Astyanax mexicanus: one gene and its partner. Each later gene encodes a partner of the first gene's protein in a complex. Links are inferred from orthologs where the notes say so. Each region holds a gene or a part of one and is shown on either strand. Other genes may lie near its edges.

The links. Proteins that work in one complex are often made in the same cells at the same time.
Region 2: the proteins of apaf1 (region 1) and casp9 are in contact, whole or in part, in a crystal structure (PDB 4RHW), measured with the Homo sapiens proteins. The link is inferred for Astyanax mexicanus from reciprocal best matches to the Homo sapiens genes APAF1 and CASP9. Residues at the interface, in NP_863651.1 of Homo sapiens: Thr22, Ser23, Tyr24, Met26, Asp27, Ile30, Ser31, Ile37, Glu40, Glu41, Arg44; in NP_001220.2 of Homo sapiens: Asp23, Trp26, Asp27, Leu30, Arg36, Pro37, His38, Glu41, Gln44, Arg45.

What each region holds. Positions count from the first base shown.
Region 1 is NC_064409.1:37,145,518-37,153,221, reverse strand, and holds the start of apaf1 (apoptotic protease-activating factor 1), read left to right. Parts: upstream 1-4,666; 5' UTR 4,667-4,828; coding exon 4,829-4,966; intron 4,967-6,074; coding exon 6,075-6,264; intron 6,265-6,652; coding exon 6,653-6,850; intron 6,851-7,704. UniProt on the Homo sapiens protein: Oligomeric Apaf-1 mediates the cytochrome c-dependent autocatalytic activation of pro-caspase-9 (Apaf-3), leading to the activation of caspase-3 and apoptosis. This activation requires ATP. Isoform 6 is less effective in inducing apoptosis.
Region 2 is NC_064420.1:3,314,333-3,322,017, forward strand, and holds the start of casp9 (caspase-9), read right to left. Parts: upstream 3,059-7,685; 5' UTR 2,988-3,058; intron 2,344-2,987; 5' UTR 2,343-2,343; coding exon 2,211-2,342; intron 1,013-2,210; coding exon 814-1,012; intron 1-813. Other genes in the region: plekhg5b (pleckstrin homology domain-containing family G member 5), read left to right, coding at 7,269-7,350. UniProt on the Homo sapiens protein: Involved in the activation cascade of caspases responsible for apoptosis execution. Binding of caspase-9 to Apaf-1 leads to activation of the protease which then cleaves and activates effector caspases caspase-3 (CASP3) or caspase-7 (CASP7).

The DNA.
Region 1 (7,704 bases):
TCAGTAGCCTTTAAAAGACTTACCTGGCGGCCGTGGTGTGTCCACTAAACTCCGTAGTTATAAACATCCTGAGGTTAGCAGCGCGCTAACTGACCTGTTTATGATGTAATCCGAGCAGTGACTCCGTGTCGGCTGTTCTAACCTGCTGCTGTTAGCTGCTTGGGCTGAAAGATGAACTGTAGTGAGCTGTATTATCCGGTTAGTGGGGTTAAAACCTTTATTTGTTTACAGAAACAGTAAAAACGGACTGGCTGAGCTCTGTAGCCCGTGGCTGGGCTGTACTGAAGTAGTGACTGAGTGAAGAGAGCGGGGCTTGTGCTGCTGCTGCTAGTGGTTGGATGAAGAACTGCAGCTTCATGTAATGAGCAGTTTCACCAGCCATCCACACACAGCTCTGATAAACTGCTTGTTTTAATAGTGCACACTGTTGCTACCAAAAAAAGTCACTAGATGGCATTACCATATATATCTTAATAAATAATAATAATAATATTTATAATAATAATAATAATAATAATAATAATAATAATAAATATATTATTTAAATTTTATGAGGCATAAAATAATAACAAGAAAATAAAACAAGAAAATCGAGAATCGAATCGAATCGTGACCCTCAAATCGAAAATGAAATCGAATCGAGGATTTAGAGAATCGTGACACCCCTACAAGATGCGTAGAAACTGTGGATTAAAACCAGGGTTATTTAACCAAATATTGGTTTTTGAACTCTATGAACTTTATGAATATGAGCTTGATTTCTTTGCATCATTTGAGGTCTGAAAGCTCTGCATCTTTTTTGTTATTTTAGCCATTTCTCATCTTATGCAAATAAATGCTCTAAATAACAATATTTTTATTTGGAATTTGGGAGAAATGTTGTCTGTAGTTTATAGAATAAAAAAACAATGTTCATTTTACTCAAACATATACCTATAAATAGCTAAATGAGAGAAACATGTTTCAGAAACTGAAGTGGACTCTCTTTCAGAGCTGTAGATCTAGTGGAATTTCTGTATTTCTTCATAAATGTGACTTAAAACATCATAACATTTCCTAAAAGTAAATGAAGATAAAAAATATATTTAAAATATTATACTTGATTTAGTGCTGGACGATATGGCCAAAATTTATATCACGATATATTCCTTAAATTTCGGTCGATACGATATAATTTCGATATCGATAAATACTTTGAAGGCCTCAGAAAAAGAATCCCTGCAATCTCTGCAGCTTGCACTGCAAATTTAAATTATTATTTAACTGTGTATTTGCACTTTTTGTATCAATCTATCCAATGGAAATCTGTACCTACTACTGTATGAAAATGTTTTAAGTCTTTGAAACCTCGTTTCACAAAAACTTTAATACTTTAGAAATAAAAGTAGTCAAAATAAATCAATGCTCAATTTTATTTGCATATAGCAAAATAATAACATGACATCCCTGCCAAACATAAGCCTATATAACTATTACAAATAAAAATAACTTTAAATGACAACAGAGGCAGAGCTTCTTATTCATTGTAAACAAATTTAACAGATTAAAACAAAAGTGTTTTAACTAGGATATATAATACAAGAAGCCTTTATATACATAAAAGCAACAAAATTTTCCCGTCAAATAAACAAACCTATAGGATTTTTCAACTATAAATAACTTAGTGACAACATAATCTATTAAAGTGCTTCAGCCAGAATACAAGAGGTATTCAACATGATATCAACGGCAAATAAACAAACCTAAAGGATTCATAAACTTTAAATAACTTAGTTTCAACATAATCTATTAAAGTGCTTCAGTCAGAATACAAGAGGTATTCAACATGATATCCACGTCAAATAAACAAACCTAAAGGATTCATAAACTTTAAATAACTTAGTTTCAACATAATCTATTAAAGTGCTTCAGTCAGTATAAGGAAAATATTGTATGTAGTGAAGATGCTTGAGGTGGTAGAACAGATTAGATGTATTAACGTTACGCTGCTTGTCGGCTCCACTCACCGGCACAATTTGCAGCAAAGCGGCAAGCGAGCGGAGCCGCGGATGAGCGAGCGGAGGCGCGGATGAGCGAGCGGACCCGCGGCTGGGCGAGCGGAGCCGCGGCTGGGCGAGCGGAGCCGCGGATGAGCGAGCGGAGGCGCGGATGAGCGAGCGGAGGCGCGGATGAGCGAGCGGACCCGCGGCTGGGCGAGCGGAGCCGCGGATGAGCGAGCGGAGGCGCGGATGAGCGAGCGGACCCGCGGCTGGGCCAGCGGAGCCGCGGATGAGCGAGCGGACGCGCGAGCGGAGCCGCGGATGAGCGAGCGGACGCGCGAATGGGCGAGCGAAACAGCGGCTGACCGAACCGAGTCTACCCTAGCCTTGGATCCGCTCGTCCCGGCTCCGTTTCGAGACATTTTAGATGCGTAGCGGAGCGGACCTGAACCTAACCTAGCCTAGCCTAGCCATTTTAACCTAGCCTAGCCTAGCCTATCTGGCTACGTGCCTGTGTGATTGCGTCATCACGCACTGAGGTAGCACAGCTATGGGGGCTGAATGTGTTTGGCTCTGCGGCGAGCTGACGCCAGTAAAAAACGCCTGTCCGTGACAGATTCTGTACATAATACATATCGATATACCACAAAAGTGATATCACCGTTATTGAAACATTTCTTATCGCGATAAATACCGATATCGAATTATTGTCCAGGCCTAACTTGATTATTTATTCATTGAGGAAAATGATTCAATATTATGTATTTATAAGTGGCAAAAATATGTAAACCTCTAGGATTAGCAGTTGGTTTGAAGGTGAAATTTAGAATCAGCTGTTTTCAATCAATGGGATGACAATCAGGTGTGAGTGGGCAGAACCTGTTTTATTTAATGAACAGGGATCCATCAAAGTATGCTTAAACCATGAATGAAATAAGTAAATTCGAAAGAAAAATGGAAGGATATCTATCCATGAACTGACTCTCAAGAGAAGGTGCGTGGGTCATGCAGCAAGTAAATAACCCTAAGCACACAAATCGTTCCACCAAAGAATGGGTAAAGAAGAAAAAAATAATTAAAATGACAAACTTTTAAGCACCACTGTATATGAAGGTAAAAGAGTGATAACAATATTATCGATTTTACAGCATAACACAATCAATGCACTAGTGGCATATATAAAGAGCCTACATCCTATTTCTTTTGGTTTGATGTTTTCTTTGATGTTTTGAATCAGAAATATTTTTACACTGTCATTTTCCAACCTCATACTTTGATATAGCAATAGCATGTAGGCTAATTTTGTTACTTTGTCGTTAAGACTGGTATATGTAAATTAACTCTGACTGGATTTGCAACCCTGTGTTGTGCCCCATAAAAAAGTAGTCCTGGCTGAAAATGTATTTTAATGTCTTAAGTGAAGTTTAATGAACTGTTGACTTTATACTAAACATTGCAATATATGTATTTCCTGTAATATATTGCAATATTAAAGTATTATTAAAGTATTTATAATGATTAAAATTATGGTCGAAAGTGTTGGCAGCCTCAAAGTTTTTCTCCCAGAAAATCATTGCAATTACACGTAATGTTATATACATGTTTATTTCTATTGTGTGCATTGGAAAAACACAAAAACACACAGAAAAGGCAAAATTTGAGAAAATTTCACGCAAAACACCCAAAATTGGATGGACAGAATTATTGCACACTTTTTGGAGAGAAATATCTGTCCCTGTAACAATGGATAAGATGCACCTGAGCCTACAGGTCAGCTTGAAGTTCTTTAGAACTTCATGGGGCTCCTTATCCAACATTTGAACTATCTGGAGTTGCAACCTTTTATCAGTTTTTCTCATCCGTTTATGTCCAAGGAGATTAGCTACAGTGCCATAGATTGTAAAGTGTTGTGCACCATGGACAAAGAAACATCAAGATATCTGGAAATGGACTTGTAACCTTGAGATACATTGAGATGCATGATATTTGTCCACAATTTTGGTTCTCAGTCGTCAGACAGTTCTCTTATCCTCTTTCTGTTCTGCAAAGATTAAATTAATTTCTCTCCTTTTTCTGTGGTTTCAGGTGTTATTTTTGTATTGCCCACACCTGTTCCTTGCTACTGGTGATTTTAAACCAGTTAAAACCTGTTAAAAATGTGCTTACATACTACCCATCAAACTCTTATATTTAAAAAATATATATATATTATTTACAATATGGCCTTCACAAAATAATAATTTACTATTTTCTTTAATAATTTGATTTTGTTTTTATGTGCTTTACCATGTTTAGAATAATGTTACACATACCATATGTTGTTGAGTAAGATTGGTATGCATATGTTGAATACTGCATCAATAGTGGACAGTTCGTATGTTGCTGATTGCTCAGATTGAAATAATTAAGAAAACTTTTATTTAAGGTCTGGGTTGTTTTTTAGGTTTACGTTCTTTCAAAGTAAACAATCAATTGTCAAACTTCCCTGGTCCTCTTTTTTTATTCTTAAATGCAATTTTTCTTAATTTTAAATAAATCAGAAATACAATTACAGACCCTATATTTTGGCTTTAAATAAACGTTCTTACCTCTATCTGAAATAATCCTAGGATCAACAGAACAAGAACAAGAACAAGCTACCTTGAGATGATTATACTTGTCCATCTTTATTGTGTCTGCAGGAAACATTGTGTGTGTGTGTGTGTGTGTGTGTGTGTGTGTGTGTGTGTGTGTGTGTGTGTGTGTGTGTGTGTGTGTGTGTGTGGGTGTGGGTGTGTGTGTGTGTGTGTGTGTGGGTGGGTGTGTGTGTGTGTGTGTGGGTGGGTGTGCGTGGGTGGGTGTGTGTGGAGATGGAGGAGAGGGCTCGCAGCTGTTTGCTGCGCTCCAAAGACACTCTGGAGCAAGATATAAAGGCCTCCTACCTCATGGACCACATGATCAGTGACGGGGTCTTGACAACAGATGAAGAGGACAGGGTACTCAGCAAGGTATAGCAAATAGACCCAGATACAGGTTAACAACCAGCCACTGGTCAAAAGTTATATGGCACATACTTAAACTTGTTTTTTATTACATTTAAACTGTGCTTTATAATATCAATATTTGTACAGTGTGCAGTTGGTAACACCATTTCTCCCATATCCCAGACTTAGGTTAAATTCCCTGTCTGAGGAAGAGCACCACAGTATAACAATACATTTTCCTAATGTCTGTAATGTGATTAAACTTTTTGCCACTGGGTAAGTTTCAAAATAATACCCCAAATTAAGCATGAATAAAAAAAATAATAGTATTAGATTTAGTATTAATAAGGTCATATATATATATATATATATATATATATATATATATATATATATATATATATATATATATATATATATATATATATATAAAATATGTATGTATGTATGTATATATATATATATATATATATATATATATATATATATATATATATATATATATATATATATATATATATATATATATATATATATACATATACACTGATTCTCTTAAGTAATCATGCATCAAACCAATTAGTGTGTCACTTCCCAATCACTTTAACAGCCAGGTGCACTCTTGTGTTCTCATTTATGAGAACAGCAATGTTATTTTATTTTGTTTTCTATTTTAATGTAAAGTTGGGTTTGTGCACTGCCTCTGGTCCATGTGTGTGTAACAAGTGGGCGTGTATGTACATTGAGCACATGAGGCATGCCTGCATTGCCAAGAGACCAGTAAACTGACTGATGACTGTTGTCAGGGTTTTAATCAGCCACTGGCGCACCTTTTTTCCATTGCCAAGATCGCAATACACCTCACTTCCAGACCACCATACCCCTTGGCTTAGATACTGTATGTCTGTGAACATCTTTGCTATTTAAACGATGCAGACTCAAAGTGTGAAAATAGACTATAGATGGGATGTAAGATAACAGTGAATATTGCGATGAGCCTTGTGAAGGGTGTAAGATATGGTTAATATGAAGTAAAAAAAGAAGGTTTAAAAGCTGTTACAGAGATGATGTAGCATGTGAGGTTCCTCTTTATGACATTGTTGCTTCACTTTTGCTCTCTTTTATTTTATAGCCCACCAGAAGAGAGCAGGCAGCAGCATTGCTGGAGGTCCTCCTGCGGAAAGACAACAGAGCCTACATCTCCTTCTACAATGCCCTGGTTAGAGAGAGCTATGGAGACCTGGCCAACCTGCTGCATAATGACCTGCCACAACTCAGCCCTGAGGGTGAAAAGAGCTTTTCCAATGGGGTCTCTTCCTTAGGTAAACATTAAACTGCCTCCTTCTTACTAAAATGATTTCACTAATGATTTTACTAATAGTCTGTAGTACGTTGTGGTGAAATTGTCGAAGGGAGAGGAAAAAGTTCTAAATTCAGTGTGCCTCGTCCACATTGACCATGAACCAACTGGGACAGCCACCAACCCATAGGACACAGAATTACATGTCATTAAGTAACCCCAGAAACTCACAGTTAACTCTTTTACACAAGGAACATGCTCTTCCACAAGCCTCAGTGGCTAAATAAGACTAATCTAACTCTAGTTAATGAGAGTAACACACCAACCGTTCTGTAAAAAAAGTATTTTTTTGTTTTTGCCTTTTTTAGGATTAGGTTATATCTGATCTCTCTCTGCTCTAATTATTTCAGTTCAGCTTATTCTGAGTGAAGGCGGAGTTCCCCAAAGGCCTATGGTTTTTGTGAACCGGCCTGCTCTGCTTAACCAGGTCCGGGAGAAGCTGTACCAACTGCAGAAAGTGGTGGGCTGGGTCACAGTGTTTGGAATGGCTGGCTCAGGGAAGTCTGTGCTGGCTGCAGAGGCAGTGAGAGACCATTCATTAATCAAAGGTACTGTTTTTTTTTCTACATAAATATTTTAGTTTTTCAATGGTTAGTTTTTGACTAATGTAGAGTAACTTGCAAATGGCATATTTCTTAAAAAGAATTTTAGCAAGGTTATTATTATTTTTTCCCATTTCAGTTCATTACAGTATGCTAAATACCCTTACATGCCAGTAGTCATAGTTCAGCAGTATGTAATTTGATCATGAAATGTTCTCTTGGTTATATTGTGAGTGAGGTTCTGAATTTCTGCCAGAATTCAGTGAGAAAATGGACTGGTAGTGGATTTGGGTTGTAGTGAAACATGGTAACGTGTACAGACTTTTGTGGAATTCTCTAATCCCCCCAAAGGTACTCTGTGTATAAGCAGTCACAAGGTACTGTGTGTATAAACAGTGTTTTTTATTAAACTGGAGTTTTCAGTGTCTCATTTTAAATGTCAGGGCCCTTGCCGTTTCGAATCCTGTTTATATAGCTTGCCATTGGCTACCAGAGCCCCAAGAGCACATAATTGGCCTTGTTCTCTCTGGGTGGGTAGATGGCGCTCTCTCCAAAGGCTGATGTCTGCAGCACAAGGCATCTGTGAGCTGATGTATCGGAACGAGTCGCTGCGCTTTTCTCCGTGCGAGCTGTGATGCTACTCAGCAATTCTGCATCATCAGCAGTTCAAAAAGAGACGGTGGATGACTTCACATGTATCGGAGGAGGCATGTGCTAGTCTTCACCCCCCTGATGTTGGGGCATTGCTAGTGATGGGGAGTCCTGATGAGTGGGTTGGGTAATTGACCGTGTAAATTGGTCATTAGGCATAACAAAATTTAGCTTCTATGAAGATCATATTTGTGCTTTATACATATTAT
Region 2 (7,685 bases), on another chromosome or scaffold:
TCTTCAAGAAACTCCTGAAGACTGAGCTCTTCAAAGAGCACTTACTCTCCTAACACCTCTAACTAACTACCTTCTACTACCAGATCAGGAGAATCTCTCACTATCTTTAATAAACTCCTGAAGACTGAGCTCTTCAAAGAGCACTTACTCTCCTAACACCTCTAACTAACTACCTTCTACTACCAGATCAGGAGAATCTCTCACTATCTTTAATAAACTCCTGAAGACAGAGCTCTTCAAAGAGCACTTACTCTCCTAACACCTCTAACTAACTACCTTCTACTACCAGATCAGGAGAATCTCTCACTATCTTTAATAAACTCCTGAAGACTGAGCTCTTCAAAGAGCACTTACTCTCCTAACACCTCTAACTAACTACCTTCTACTACCAGATCAGGAGAATCTCTCACTATATTTAATAATAAACTGCTGAAGACAGAGCTCTTCAAAGAGCACTTACTCTCCTAACACCTCTAACTAACTACCTTCTACTACCAGATCAGGAGAATCTCTCACTATATTTAATAATAAACTGCTGAAGACAGAGCTCTTCAAAGAGCACTTACTCTCCTAACACCTACTCCTAACACTAACTACTTCTAACCTCATTTCCTTCTTCCCCTCCTTCACTCCTCTACCCCATTATTTCCCTTCAACCTCCTTTAAGCCCTATCTAAAAATGTTTTACCTTTAATTTTTATTACTTTTGTACTTCACTATTGTAAGTCGCTTTGGACAAAAGCGCCTGCCAAATGTAATGTAATGTAATGTAATGTAATGTAAAGTAAAAACATACAGAAGAATCGCACTCACTGACAGGGAGAGGGATTACAGTGGGCTGCACAGGGAGGGGAGCAGGTACAGGTAGAGGATTTCCACTCTCCAGGTGCTCCGCCAGGCTGGATTGGCCGGTTTCATGAAGACACTCCAGAAAAGCTGGGAAAGCTTGACGGCCTCTCGTCTCCAGGTCCTTCACCAGCTGCCTGGCCTGAGTACGTCTGGCCCCAGAGCTCTGCGAAACAGTTATAGAACAGTTTTTACAAAGCACTCTTTGGACTCTATCTTACACCGTGCACAAGATGAGTCACAATTCTCATTGCTATCTTACACCCCACCAACAGCCTTAATTTTTCGTTTTAAATAGCAACAGTGCGTGTGAGTACTTCTCTGGAAGTAATGTGTTGCTATTTTGTATGTAGGACCAAAACTGCCAAAATGTAAAATAAGTAAATAAGTAAATAAAAACGTAAGTAAATCACTCAGTAAAAGTAATATGGTGATTAAAACGGTACAGAATAATTATAATTAATATAAAAATAAATACATATCTATAAAAAATAAATATCCTAATTATTTGTTATTTATAGGTTTCATTATTAACATTGTTTAATTTTTAATTAATTTTATTTATTTATGCATTAATTTTTTTTCTGCATTCATTTATTTGTTATTCACTGATTTATTTATTTATTATTATTTCCTTGTCCTTATATGATAATGAAGGGACGTGTTTTATAATAATCTTCTACGTTGCCAAGAGCAAGACATGTACAATCAATCTAGGGTATCTGACATCGATCAACCAATAGGATCGCTCTAAGACACCATGACATCATTGCTGGACATCCCCTTCATTATCATAAAAGGAAAAGAAAAAACAGAAATCAATAAAATGGGAAATAAATAAATCGGGAAATAAATAAATCGGGAAATAAATAAATTAAAGCAGAAATAAATAGTTATGTAAATAAACAAACAAACAAATAAAAAGAAAAAAATAAACCCATACATAACAATGTAAGATATTTATTTTTATATTAATTATAATTATTGTTTACTGTTTTAATCACCATATTACTTTTATCGAGTGATTTACTTACGTTTTTATTCATTTATTTATTTTTATTCATTATTTTATTCATTATTTATCCTCCATAATCTTGGCAGCAGAAAACTGATTTTAAATCATGACCTTAATTCAGTGTTTTGTCATAAATCGCCAAAAAAATTGTGATATTATATTGGCCACCCCTAGTTGAAATTTAATTACAGTTTTTAACCTTAAAAAGATATAATTTAAATGTACAAAATGCAGATTCAGATTTAAGTCAGCTTTAAAGCTCCATATTAGCTCTCTTTTTGTATCTTGAACCTGTTTAGCACTACACAGACCTCTTTATCTTGTCTTAGAACGCTCTTCCTCATCTCACCTTTATCTCATCTATCATGTCCTGACTGAAGATGCCTCTTGACAAGAGTCCATCGAGGACACCTGAAGGATCTAGGGTCTTCACCAGGTGAGCTCTGTTCTGCTGGAGGATCTTCCTGTGTCTGGGCTCCATGCTGTTAACAGAGTCCATAAAACATTAGTTAGATACCAGTCAAAACACCTCTTCTCATTCAATTAGTGTTTATTATTATTATTATCATTATTATTACTTTATTTTTTATTTTATTTTTTATATTGTAAATTTAATTTTGGAGACTATATTAAAGCTTTACGGGAACATGTGGAATTATTCTGTAAATAAAAAGTGTTAAACAAACCATAATATGTTTTATATTTTAGATTTTTATAAATAAGCATCACATTTATTTAGGTATTTTAATCTCAGTGTCTTCACGAGGGAATATGTTTCTCAGGGGAGTTTTGTGTAGGACAAACAGTTTTCCATATGTGTCCCTTAATCGTTTTCATTACAATTAGTCTTTAATATTAATCTACAATGTAGAAAGTAAATTAAATCAGGAAATAAAGCATAAAAACACTGAATGAAAAGGTGTATCCATATTTTGACTGGTATGTTTCTGTATATTTAACGCAGCTAAACGCCAGCGTAATAGAGTTGAGTCTAACAGACACAAAATATAAAATAAATATTTAATTGATTAAATTCTAAATTATATTTCACTTGAAAAATCGATTTTAAAACGGTAAAATACAAAAAAATACAGCTTTAAATACACAGAGCTGAGGAAATACTCACCTTCCTTGTTTATGTCACGCCTAACAACACCACAGAGTCTGTACAGGCGAGAATACCCACTTAAAAATCTGTTCTGGGGGTGTCTGACCACCAGAGGGCGCTGCAGAGTAAGTCTAAAATGAATGGGTTCATATGGAGTAACTGAGTTGATTGGATGGATGGATGGTTGTATGAATGGATGGTTGGATGGATGGTTGTATGGATGGATGAATGAATGGATGGATGGATGGATGGATGGATGAATGGGTGGTTGGATGGATAGATGGATGGATGGATGGTTGGATGGACGGATGGATGGATAGATAGATGGATGGTTGTATGGATGGCTGAATGGACGAATGGATGGTTTTAGACTACTACATAATTTGAACACACAAACTGTCTCTTACTTTTTAACAAAATTTTGCACCAGTACAAATGAGGGCAATGATATATATAAATTAATACATGTTTACTAATTTTTATACTGAAAAAAACTAAATCAGCATCAGCTCTCCAGCCAGTGTTAGGCTAACCAGTCTTTAATGCAAAAAAAAACCGTTTGCTGTAATTTAATGGAAACATACAGGTCATTTTTCTTTATATTTTTAGTAAAGTACTTTATAATAATTTCTAAAGATAAAGTAATATTCTGGCTAAGTAGTTAGCTAGTGTTTTTAATTTGAGATTTTAGCCGTTTAGCTCCATTCACCCGCATTCAATTTGGACTCACTCGCGGGCTCCCTCTAGCGGTGCGCAGTTATTTTTGATATAACAGGGAGGTAAAAAGTGCGCAGGCTCGCCAAAAAACAGCTCTGATATCAGTATCTGTGTGCGTTTGTGCGATCAAAGATGCGTCGCTTAAACGCAGACTTTGTGCATGTTTTTCACATCTATTTGTAGTTCTATTTCACACATATTTTTCGTTTTACTGCGCACAGATCAGATTATTGAGGAAAATAAAACGTTAAAGAATGTATGAATAATACTATAAATGTTACTTTAGATTCTAAAGGCAATAGGCTATAAATATTCCATATTATTATTATTATTATTATTATTATTATTATTATTATTATTATTATTTTAATGAGTTTTGTATTCTGCATTTAGTCAGCAAAAAGTTCCATATAAATCCATATAAAGCTACCTAGAAATGCTCTACAAATTTGATACAATTTTAAACAGTTTTCTGACTTTTTAATCAATATGTTCTGTATTTAGAATTAGTTTAGTTCCTGGTTATTTCTGCTGTTTAACTGTATGATAAACTACCCTCTAAAATCATTGCTTATTTTAACCCTTCCTGAACTGAGTTATGATGCAGTGATAAACATGTGCAACAAAACATTTGTTGTTTACCTTTCAAATGAAAATACAGTAATACTAATTTTGTAAAAAAAATAAATAATAAAAAAATAAAAAAAATCCAAGGATATTAGGGTCTTTAGAGTTTGAACACCATATATTTAAAGGCCTAGAAAAGCATGGAATTTGATCATACTCATTGTGTATAAAAGTATATTTGCAAGATGATTTAAGATTATATTTGTACAGTCAGTGTAGTGAAGTTGAATTGAAAATGTAGGATAAGTGATGAAGAAATTGCAACATGCAAAAGTAGAGACTGGCAGTAAGAAAAGAAAGAGAGAGAGAGAGAGAGAGAGAGTAGACTAATACTGTACACATGCTGTATCTGGCAGGAGCTTCACTCAGGACTTGGCTTCAGACTAAAGAGGCTTTGATCAAAACATCATCCAGGAAAGGTGTGGAGGCCAGCTGCCCCGGCCTGAGGTGGAGAACTCACAGATCCACACACAGATCCAGGGCTGCGTACTGCTACTTACATTTAATAGTGGTCTTTTGTAAGAAACTAAAAGGAAGTAGAGAGCACCACAAGAGTATAAGCAGTATTTTACCTTACTGGATATGACTAGTAAAAAAGGTTCTTGGCTGAGTAAGCATTGTCTCAAGTTACACTGAAAAAAAAGTCAATTTAGATGAAAAAATATGCATATCAGTTGCACATATAATAAACTTATGAAGAATAAAAATGATTGCTTTTTATTTTCTTTTATGTAACATTACTTTTCATACTTATTGAATTGCTATCTAATGACTTCTGCTAACTTAAATAGTACACCTTAATGCAACTAAAAAAAACTACACTAAAGTGCACTTTAAACATTATTTAAAGAGAGTAAAACGGAAGATTGCAGAAAGAGTTTTATTATTCTTTGAAGCTCTAGTTTTAATTAATATATATTTTTATAGTTTTCTTTTCTCTCTCTCTTTCTCTTTCTTTGTGTATTTGAGTATATACCTGGTTAATTATATATTATTATATTTACTTGTCTGTTGTTTGTGCCATTGTTATTATGTCAATATGTGTATTGTGCTATATTGTTTATTTGCTTACGGTTAATTAATTCATTAAAAAAAAAACTTTATATGTTTGGCCGCTGCAGCGCCTCTAGCGGTGAGGCGCGGTTACTGCAGGCCGGTCAGAGCCCTGAGCCCTGAGTCTGAGCTCAGTCCGCTTCAGCTGGATCTGAATGAATGGAGGAGAAACAGACTGAGGGCTGGGAGTGAGGAAGAGCTGCAGCGGAGCGCTGAGGTCCTGATGTTCTGATGTTCCTCCAAACAAACCAGCAGGAGATAGAGCGGGATTTCTCCCCGCGGAGGAGCCATGCTGCAGTAACAACACACCGGAGAGGAGGAGACCGAGACCGAGAGAGCGGCGGGGAGAACCGACCGACCGACCAACCGACCGACTGACCGCAAGCTACAGGTCAGTGAAAGCTCTGCTGCTGCTGTACTGCTAACGTTATTTAAACGTTCTCCCCAATATAGGAACAAATGTTCCACACTAACATTAATGTAACGTTCTAAAAACGGTGCACAACAAAAGTTCCCCAAGTCTTTAAAAATATAATAATTCCCACAAAAAAAGTCTTGCACGAACGTGTTCAAATTTCCTCTGGTGTTAGGACATCAGGCAAACGTTCCCCCCGCAGTAACATAAATGTAACGTTCTATAAACATTTTGCAACTTTGTTTAAAGTTCCTCTGATGTTAGGAGCAAACGTTCCCACAATAACATTAATGTAAAGTTTGTAAACATTGTACAACCTTGTGAAATTTTTTTCCCAGTGTAAAAAAGGAGCAAACTTTCCCACAACAACATTGATGTAACATTCTAAAAAACGTTGCTCAAATTTCCCCAGAAACGTTAATCGAACGCTCTAAAAATGTTGCACGACCTTGTTCAAATTTCCCTAATGTTTAAAAACAATTTAAGCATTTTATTCCTACAGTAACATTAATGGGACGTTCCTAGAAGTGCCTTTACGCAGCAGTGCAGCAGCTAATTAACTGATTAATTAAACAGCATGCTGTATTTACCGTATTTACAGTTTTTACATAACTCTCTACAACAGCACGGGGTTAATGCGCAAAGTTTCATAATGTTAGTTAATATCAAGCTAACAGTGAACATACCCCTAACCATTTACTAACGTTATTTAAAAGTTCTCCCCAAGCTACGAGCGAACATTCTCACAATATAATAAATGTAACGTTCTGAAAACGTTGCACAACCTTGTTTAGAGTTCCCTGGTGTTACAATAACAATAATTTCCAGAGTAACTTTCATGGAAGGTTTAAAAAAAAAAGTTTTGCATATTGCTTGTTCGAAGTTCCTCTGATGTTAGTGGCAAACTTTACCACAATAACATGAATGTAATGTTCTAAAAATGTTATGAGCAAACATTCCCACAACCAGAGTGTAACAATGTTACATAAACATGAATTATGATAAATGTTTTAAATATGCATCTACTAGCATACCTGCAACTCTATATATATTTATATATTTTAGAAACTGTGTGTCTGGTAGGTTTTCCTATGATTTTTTTGTTCTGGCCTCAACAGCCTTTCCATAATAACTGGTAAACTGTGGTTTTCTATTGATGTGGATGAAACAACTACTGCAAAAAAATAAAATTTTTGATTTTTTTAGTGCTACAATCCATCTGTATTCTATATATTCCATAATTTGTGAATGCATAGGCATTCCCAAAAGTTCCCACTGTTGCACTGATGTTGAACCATATACTTTTGCACTGGGAAGCTACTGTGTGTACAAAACAAGAAATCAAAACAAGATTAACACACACAGTGAATGCTGCACCCTGATTGGTTTGCTTTCTTTGTGCATTTTGATTTTACTTAGTTTTTGCTGGTAACTTTTTTCAGGCAGCCGTTGGTTTTCTATCTCAGTTGGAGTAAATGCAGCGCTAGATGGTTCCCAACAAGTGGACTATGAATCCAAGTCTCCACAAATCTCCTCCCAGGAGCTGGCTCGGGATTCGGCTACGTCTCAGTAAGATGTTTTATTTTATCCTCGTTATGAAGGTTGTGAAGTTATGAAGGTTCCTGCCAGGCTGGAGCTCTTGAGAGGATGCTTTACAGCTGAAAGGCACTGAAGTAGTCTTTAGTGTTGTATTTTTCCTATTTTTGTTTATGTTTTAGTTCACTGTTCTAAGATCTAAATTTTAGTCTGTATAAAAAACATATACTATAAACATGAAAAATGGAGGGGTCTGAGTGGTCCAGCAAACTAAGGGGCTACCACTAGTTAGTGGATTGGGAGATCGCTGGTTCGAATCCTGGTTATGCAGCTTGCCATCAGCTGCCGAAGCCCAAAGAGAGCACAAT